Linked DNA regions of Diceros bicornis minor. The protein of the gene in region 1 interacts with the protein of each later gene in a pairwise test. Links are inferred from orthologs where the notes say so. Each region holds a gene or a part of one and is shown on either strand. Other genes may lie near its edges.

The links. The genes of interacting proteins can lie anywhere in the genome.
Region 2: the proteins of ADAMTSL4 (region 1) and CREB5 interact in binary tests that used the Homo sapiens proteins (3 or more experiments, as listed by UniProt). The two-hybrid records come from large-scale screens. The link is inferred for Diceros bicornis minor from reciprocal best matches to the Homo sapiens genes ADAMTSL4 and CREB5.

Annotation. Positions count from the first base shown.
Region 1 is NC_080743.1:54,979,016-54,982,764, forward strand, and holds the start of ADAMTSL4 (ADAMTS-like protein 4), read left to right. Parts: upstream 1-1,228; 5' UTR 1,229-1,337; intron 1,338-3,630; exon of another isoform or gene 3,631-3,749. UniProt on the Homo sapiens protein: Positive regulation of apoptosis. May facilitate FBN1 microfibril biogenesis.
Region 2 is NC_080742.1:53,090,780-53,094,528, forward strand, and holds the start of CREB5 (cyclic AMP-responsive element-binding protein 5), read left to right. Parts: upstream 1-1,566; 5' UTR 1,567-2,849; coding exon 2,850-2,852; intron 2,853-3,749. Other genes in the region: uncharacterized protein LOC131399887, read left to right, coding at 1-488. UniProt on the Homo sapiens protein: Binds to the cAMP response element and activates transcription.

The DNA.
Region 1 (3,749 bases):
CCCTGCTATTCTGTGGGGATGCAGAACACTGTTGCTAGAGCTTCTATGTTTATGTTTTTGTTTTTCAAGAGAAAATGTAAAGTATCCTGGTTTTAAAATATTGACAAGTTACTGAAAAAAACAAAAGCTTTAAAATACTGAGTAGATCCAACAATACATGACTGTGGTTCATGAGTAAATGGCAAAAAAAAATTAAAAATAGTAGTGACCATTTATTGTCTACTCATGTCAGCCATTTGATATACATTATTTATTTTTTAACATAACTGATAACACAGATAACGCTTTTGGTTAAAAATTCAAACAACATATAAGCATATAGAGTAAAAAGTGAAAGCCTGTTTTTCCCTCCCCCAGCCCCACACCCCTCTCCAGGTGTCACCACCAATTCCGAGTTTGGGTTGCATTCTTCCAGACATAAATAAATAGAGAGACATATCTCCAGACCCATCATATCTATCAGATTGGCCCCATTTTACAGATGAGGAAACTGCAGCACAGAAAGGTTGAAGTATTCATCCAAGACCATAGAGCTGGCAAGTACTCGAACTGAGATTCAAATCTAGATCGTCTGACTCTTAAGTCAGCGCATTCCTTTCGCTACGTTCCCGGTGTACAATTTTATGGATGAAGAAAGCGAGGCTCACAGACGTCCCCGAGCAGTCAGAACCATGTGGTTCACAGCCCAACTTGGGAGAGGCAGCGATGTCTGGGCTTGCATAAGAGGCTGCGTGGAGGAGAGGGCCTCGACCGACGCGGATCTGGGGTCGGGCGGGACCGTCTCGGGACAGAGCGCAGCCCCATCTGGGGCCCGGCGCTCAGCCACGCCGCTCGGGTACAGGCGCCACCCAGCCCCTTGGTGCCCCTCGCGGCCGCCCCGCCTCGGCCCGCGCAGCGCTCGCACCGCCCACTCGGAGCCGGTCGGAGGGCCGGGGTCCCGGAGTCCCGAGCGCCGATCCGGCCCAGCGCACCGGCCCAGGGACAGTGCCCGGGAGCGACGGCTGCCTCCGAACCGGGCTGGGACCCCTCGAGCCATCGGCGGGCGCCCGGCACGCAGGGGTGGCCAGGCCCGCAGCCCCGGCGTGGGTGGCCCTGGGAGCAGGGGGTTTGGGGTGGGCCGCCCCCACCGAGGGCCGCCGAGGGCGCGGGCTGGGCGCGTGGCGGGCGGGCAGACAGGCGGGCGGGGCGGGGGCGGGGCGCCGGGGCGGAGCCGGGCCGGAGGCGGCCGTGTCCGGAGCCCGGCTCAGGGGCCGCGGTGGCCGCCGCGGAGCAAGGCTGCCTCCAGAGAGCGCCCGGGCGCAGAAGGGTTAACGGGCCGCCGGGGCCGCGCAGAGCAGGTACAGACCCTCCCTGGGACCCCCGGCCCCGGCCGCCCCCTCTCCCCGCCCGGTTAGACCACCCGCCCCGCGCGCCCGCGCCGCCGCCGCTCCCTGCGCCCTGCGCCCCGAGGTCGGCCCCCAGCCACGACCCCGGCCCCAGCTCTTACAGCCTCGGAAGATCTTCCAGTCCCTGGGGTCGAATTCCTGGGGAGGGGGTTCTGATCCCTTGGAACTCTGGCCCCATCACCCAGGCGGAGAATCAGCCAAAATTCCTACTAAGTCACATAGTAAAAGTTGGCAAACATACTACTCAGGACCTTCCTGCACGCGCCTCCTGCGCTCCTCTAAGGATGTGTGCCCCCCGGGACCCCCTTCAGTCCTGGAGTTGGGGGACGGGCGCTTGGAGGGATGCAGGTGGGTGCCCTTGATCTAGCTCAGACTGATAACTAGAAAGGATGGACACCTGTTGGGATAGTCCTCCAGGACCCAGGAGTGGAGCACACTGTGAGGAACAAGGAGTTCTGACCCAGGATGGGGACTCCATGCCAGCCCTGAAACATGCTGTCCAGTCTCCTCCCTTGCAGCAGCGACCCATTTCCCAGAAGGAGGTCCCTCTGGGGGTGAAAGGTTAGCCCTGCCCAGGTCTCCTCCTTGATCCTCAGTGGCCAGTGTGGAGGTATGGCCAGGAGGGGCACAGGTTTGTCTAGACCAGTGTCCAGCCTGGCACCAGAGTAACCACTTCTGATCTCTCCTTCCCTCACCAAGGGCAGTGAGACACACCAGATGAGGGACATGAAAAGGGGTGAAAGCACAAACGTGTGTCTGTTTGGGCAGTGGGGGGGGTGTCGGCCCCCTGCCTAGCTGCGCAGGAGGGAGGTGGGACTGTTCCAGAGAGGGAGCCAGGCCTGGCTGCGGCCTCAGGAGCTCACGTCACCCCCATCCCCCACCCCTCACTTCTCCAGGGAACTGCCAAAGCCAAACCCAGCTCAGGATGGGATTATGTGTACTGGGTAGACCCATAGGAGAGACAGCAAGATATAGACCTGGGGGAGCGGAGAGAAGCAGAGGCAGAGAGGCAGTGGAGAGAGGACCCAGCAGCAGAGAAGGGTCAGACAGTGACCATCACCCCCATCTCTCCTTCCCTTCAACCTCAACTAACAGTCAGGCAGAGAGCTGAAGGTTTGGGTGGAAGGTTGGCTCTTCTCTGGAGCCCCTACCCTCCACCCCCTCCATCAGGGCAGAGTTGCTGACCTCAGTAGCCAGCCCAGCGAGAGGAAGGAGCAGCCATCAGCAGCCCCCTTCCCAACCCGAAGCAGCTGAGGTGACCCTGTGGGCTCAGGCTCAACCACTGTGATCCCTCCCTCAAATTCTCAAGTCCCCGGGTCTCGGGTCTCGGGGTGTGGGTTGCTACCCCCAAGCACATTCCTGCCCCTCTCTCTGTCATTTTTCTGCCCCTGAGCTGGCCCACCTCCGCATTAGCTCCTTGGATTCCTCTCCTGGGTGCCTTTCAGATCCAACAGAAACATTTTTTTTTTTTCCTGGAAAGCAGAACCAAGAGCGAGATGAAGGGTGGGGGTGGGAAGAGCTCATAGTGAGCAGGAAGGGGCTGGAGGGCAATGGAGGGTGGTGGGGAGAGTCAGGCTTTGAGACCAGGGGAGAGTTCCAAGCTCCACTTCCCCAATTATCAAAGCTGGACTTCAGGATGGACTTCCCGGGGACCCACGACGGGCAGCTCTAGCTGCAACTCTGCTTCCCAGGTTCCCCCAGCCCATCGTAGTCACGCCTGAAATAAGCCCTCATTGAACCAGTGCCGGACGCTGGCCCCTAGAGGGAGGTTAAATCGCAGTGGGAAAATCACCTACTTCTTTAAAGATTAAACCATCAACCCACTTAGTTTATCCCTTGGCTAAAAGTGTTTGAGGCAGGCAGAGATGTGCCTGAGTGTTCCAGAAGGAACTTAGCTGAGAAGGGAAGAAAAAGCTGGGAGCAAGTAGGAAACAGAAAGCCCAAGGGACTTCTTTTAACTCCTCAGAGGGGCTGTTTGGCATGTTGTCACCGGAGCCTCCCCCTTCAACTTTCCAGGACCTCTGGGAGGGCAGGAGGGGGAGTCAGATGCAAACCATCTTAAGAAGGATGCGTGTGTGCCTGAGCTGGCCTACAAACAGTCCCTAGCTGGGACTAGGGAGGAGCTGAGAAGTTCCTAAATTGAGGGGAGGGGCCAGAGCCTGAGTTGGGAGGCTGAGGTCAGACCCCCACCCTCTAGCCTCAGCAGATGGACAAGGGCAGCATTCCTTCTTGCTCTCACCCTTAGGATCTTAAAGGGGTGGAGCAGTCTTCCCCCACCCCTCCAGCCTCAGTCTGAGATGTCCTTCTGAGGAGTCATCCCTCCCAACCCCCAGCTTTCTGGAGACTGGAGAGGTAACCACCAGG
Region 2 (3,749 bases), on another chromosome or scaffold:
GGCGCGCGGGGGGCTCGCTCCCTGCCGGGTGTCGAGCCTGCTGCTGCCACCTCTCCCGCAGGGCTGCCCGCCGCAGCTGGTGGGCGCGCGCGCCCGGGAAGGGGACGTCGCCCTTGAACGGCACTTGGCTTTCGCTCCAGGCGCGGAAGGCTCGAAAGTGGCGAGGCTCTACTCGCGTTCACTCCTCCAGCCGCCTCCTGCCTCCGTCCGGTTCTCGCTGGCATCATTACCTCTTCCCCGCCGCTGCCTCAAATGACAGCTCTCGCTTTTGCCGCGGCGGCGCGGTGGCAGTTTCCAGGAGCCGGCGGCTGGAGCCTTCCTCTCTGGCAGGTTCTCCACGGAACCGCTTAAACTTTTCGCGAAGTTCTCAGAGCGGCAAGACGTGCGAAGGAACCAAGGAGATGTTTTTTCTCGGCATCTGCATCCCGCTTCTTCTTTGCCATAGATTTATTTCCGGGGGCGGGAAGGGGGGTGTATCTGGTAGATAAAGCCCCAGACCTTGCCCACCTCCTCCCCAACTTTTCTTGAACGGGTACTGCACTCACTTGATGCTTGTTCAAGGCCAGGCACTGGAGTGGGTGCTTGTATGTTTCGTTGTCGGAGTCCGCAGAGTGTGCTTGATTTTTATTTTTCCCTCCCTCTCTGACATGTGTCAAGGAATAAAGGCTGGATACAGGTCCATTACGTCATTCTGCAGGCCAGTAAGTGTTTGATTAACAGCTTCAGATACTCAAGGGTTCGGGGGCTTAGAAATGCTGACAAAGCAACTCTGCTTTCCATCCCCAGCCCCCAACATACTCGTACAATTGCCTGTTCCCTGGGCATCTTTATTGCCCTCTCCTCCCGGACCCCTCCTTCTCCACTCCCTCTCCCGCCCGCACCGTTATCACTCTGGCCCCGCCTTCCCCTTTTACTGCTTTCCCTGGGGCGATCACTGTCCCTGGAGTGTGGGTAAGAGCTTCTGGCGTCTGAGGGGAGCACAGTACCTGATCAGCGCACACACAATCTGCCCTGTTCTATTATTTAAGGAAGGCACCAGCAAGCCCTCTTCTCTAGGGCGAAAATGCTCAGCCCTGATAGAAAAGGCATCTTAGGAAATGTTTAGAGACGTTATGATGATACTGTGTCCCTGTGGTGACTTAGGAAAACGACACACCCACTGCAAACAAAGTGCTTAATTCTATAGAGCGCCTTCCTCCAACCGTTTAGCCGAGGAGGGAAGACGAAGGGAGGATGCTGACTAAATCAAATTTAGCTGAAAGGATCAAGATTAAACGTTTCATTTCCAAAGTGAGGGAATGTGAGTGTTTGAACTCAAAGTACCATACAATAAATTGGTGCGTGTGTTACTTTCTTTCTCTTAACCTTAAGTTTCTGTATTTAAAGAGGATGTTAAATACATAAGTCACTGAATTGAGTCAGAATCTGCGTATCTGGCAGTTGAAATAACAACACTGTGTAACATATTTAAGGGATAAAAATAAAAAGAAATCTTAGTAGTGGGGGTGAGTGTGCAGCAGAAATCAAATAAAAAATTTACTAACAGGGTTTTGGATGGAGGGGGGTCAGAAGATTTGGGTGCTTTCTGATTTGGAGTTAGTGAAAGCTAAATAAAGGAAAATTTATGTTCTGAGTATGTGGGAATTTCTTGATGAACACATGTCTTGTTATAATCAGATCTACTTTCTTCAAAATGAAAGCTGTGCTGTAGAGTAGGCATTTGTGAAACTCCTGCCTGGGGTCTAATTGACCTCCTTCCCCAAGTTTGTGGCAGTATTTACTATTTACTAACATCTAGAGGTGAAATACTATAACCCCACACAATCCATGTGCATCTAAAATGTGAAACATCTTGTTTGTGATGCACAGACCTAGAGGAAAAAATGGCCCGGGTCCCCGGCACTGGAGAGTGTGATTAATGATCAGTGATTTAGTGATCAGTGATTAGTGGTTTTATTCAAACTGTTACCTCTGACCAGAAGCACACATCAGAGGATTAACAGGCTCTTTAGATAAATGCTCATTAGTGGAAGGGGAAAAGCAAAGATAATAGGCATGCACCCAGGGACAACTTTCGAAGAAAATCATTCCCGTCTTCAGAATAATAAGCTCTATTAAGAGAAAGCCCTTTTAATTTAAAACTTGCTTTTATCTTGTAAATCAAAGTTAGATGTAAAAGTTTGTAGTGCCATTATAACCTAAATTTTCCCATATCCACTAGATGTGGATTATCTCAGTAGCGATATTTTTTTTTTATTTAAATAAACAATTGGACCTTTAGAGCAGCTGAACCCTGACAAGTTCTTAACTCCCAGGGTTTGAAGGTGTCCCCCCTTCTAGAATGGAGAGTGCAACTTGCTAACTAGATGGCGCACTGTTATTTGGTGTGCTGTGCTGTGTGGTGCAGGAGTCTGACGGAGCAAGTAGCTGCTTGCGAGGTGTTCTTCAACACTTACAACAAAGTTGATTCTGTGTAGGGTTGGAGGCTAGACGGTTCTACAAGTTTTTAGTCACATTTTCCATGTCAGTTAAATCTAGGGTGTTCAAGGCTACTGGAAAAATTAGTCTCATTACTAAAAGAAACTTAGGGAGCGAGGGAGGAAAGGAGGGACAGGAGTCTAAGAGGTACCTTTGGGTTGCAGAAGTGATTGTAAAATACCAGATCTGTTCTTTTTTTTACTAAGAGCTAGTTTCATAAGCTTGTGGTCTGAAATCCTGAGGCAAATACTCAAAGATTTATTTTCTTCCTCATCTTGCTGGTGAAAAAGGAGTTACTAGAAAGAAAGGAAGAAAAAACTTGATTTGGTGACTGCAGGAAGCAACACGTTGCTGATTTTTTTCTACAGATAATGGTAAGATGATGTTTACTACTCTTATTAAGCAGAAAGGGAACTTTACAACTGGTTAAATGAGACCAATCTTGTATTTTCATAGATGCGATTTGGAAATGGAATTCTTATTTTGCACTGAATCTTAATGTTGCTTTTGTCAGTTTCCTGGGATTTGGTAGCATTTTGTGTGGAAGGTTGTCTGTGTGTGTGTGTGAATAAGACCATTATTTCCCTGGTAAAATAAGGTTCATGAGCATGTGAACGGCAGTGGGGGAGCTACGAAGCATGTTAAATAATGTGTCAGGTAAGAATTCCTTTTTCTACGAGCTTTCATGAATCACTTCAATAAGTACTTAAGTTTTAGTAAGGAAGGCATTCTTAAAAAGAAACCTAAAAATTAAAAATCAAACAAAAAAACCCCATTCTCCACTTCCAAACCTAGATGTGTATTCCCCCGAGGAAGGATGTTATTGAATCAATATCAGCTATTACTTGAGTTTTAAAACTTAGAAAGAAAACAATGGATGAACTTACTTGTGCCTCCCTATAAATTTTTTCATTTTCCTTTGCTTGTAGCGTTTTATATAGATCCATTATTTTTAAATCCCGACTGATTCATAGCAATTTTTATTTTTCAACTTTACTTAAACATATTTGCTCAATTCAAGCCAACTGTTTTTAATGTAAATTGCTGATATCTTAAATTGCCTGTCAATTGGAAGTCAGTTGTGACCTTATATAGTTTATACATGAGCAGATGGTTTATTAGAACATTCCCACAAAAATGTGGAAACAATGCCTTTATTTCTATCTCTGTAATGTTGCAGCTTTTATTTGAATAGGTGGCTAAAGGAATGGTAGCTTGTCAGACTTTTCCTGTATAGCTTTTCAAATATAGTAAGTTGAAGATTTTTGTTA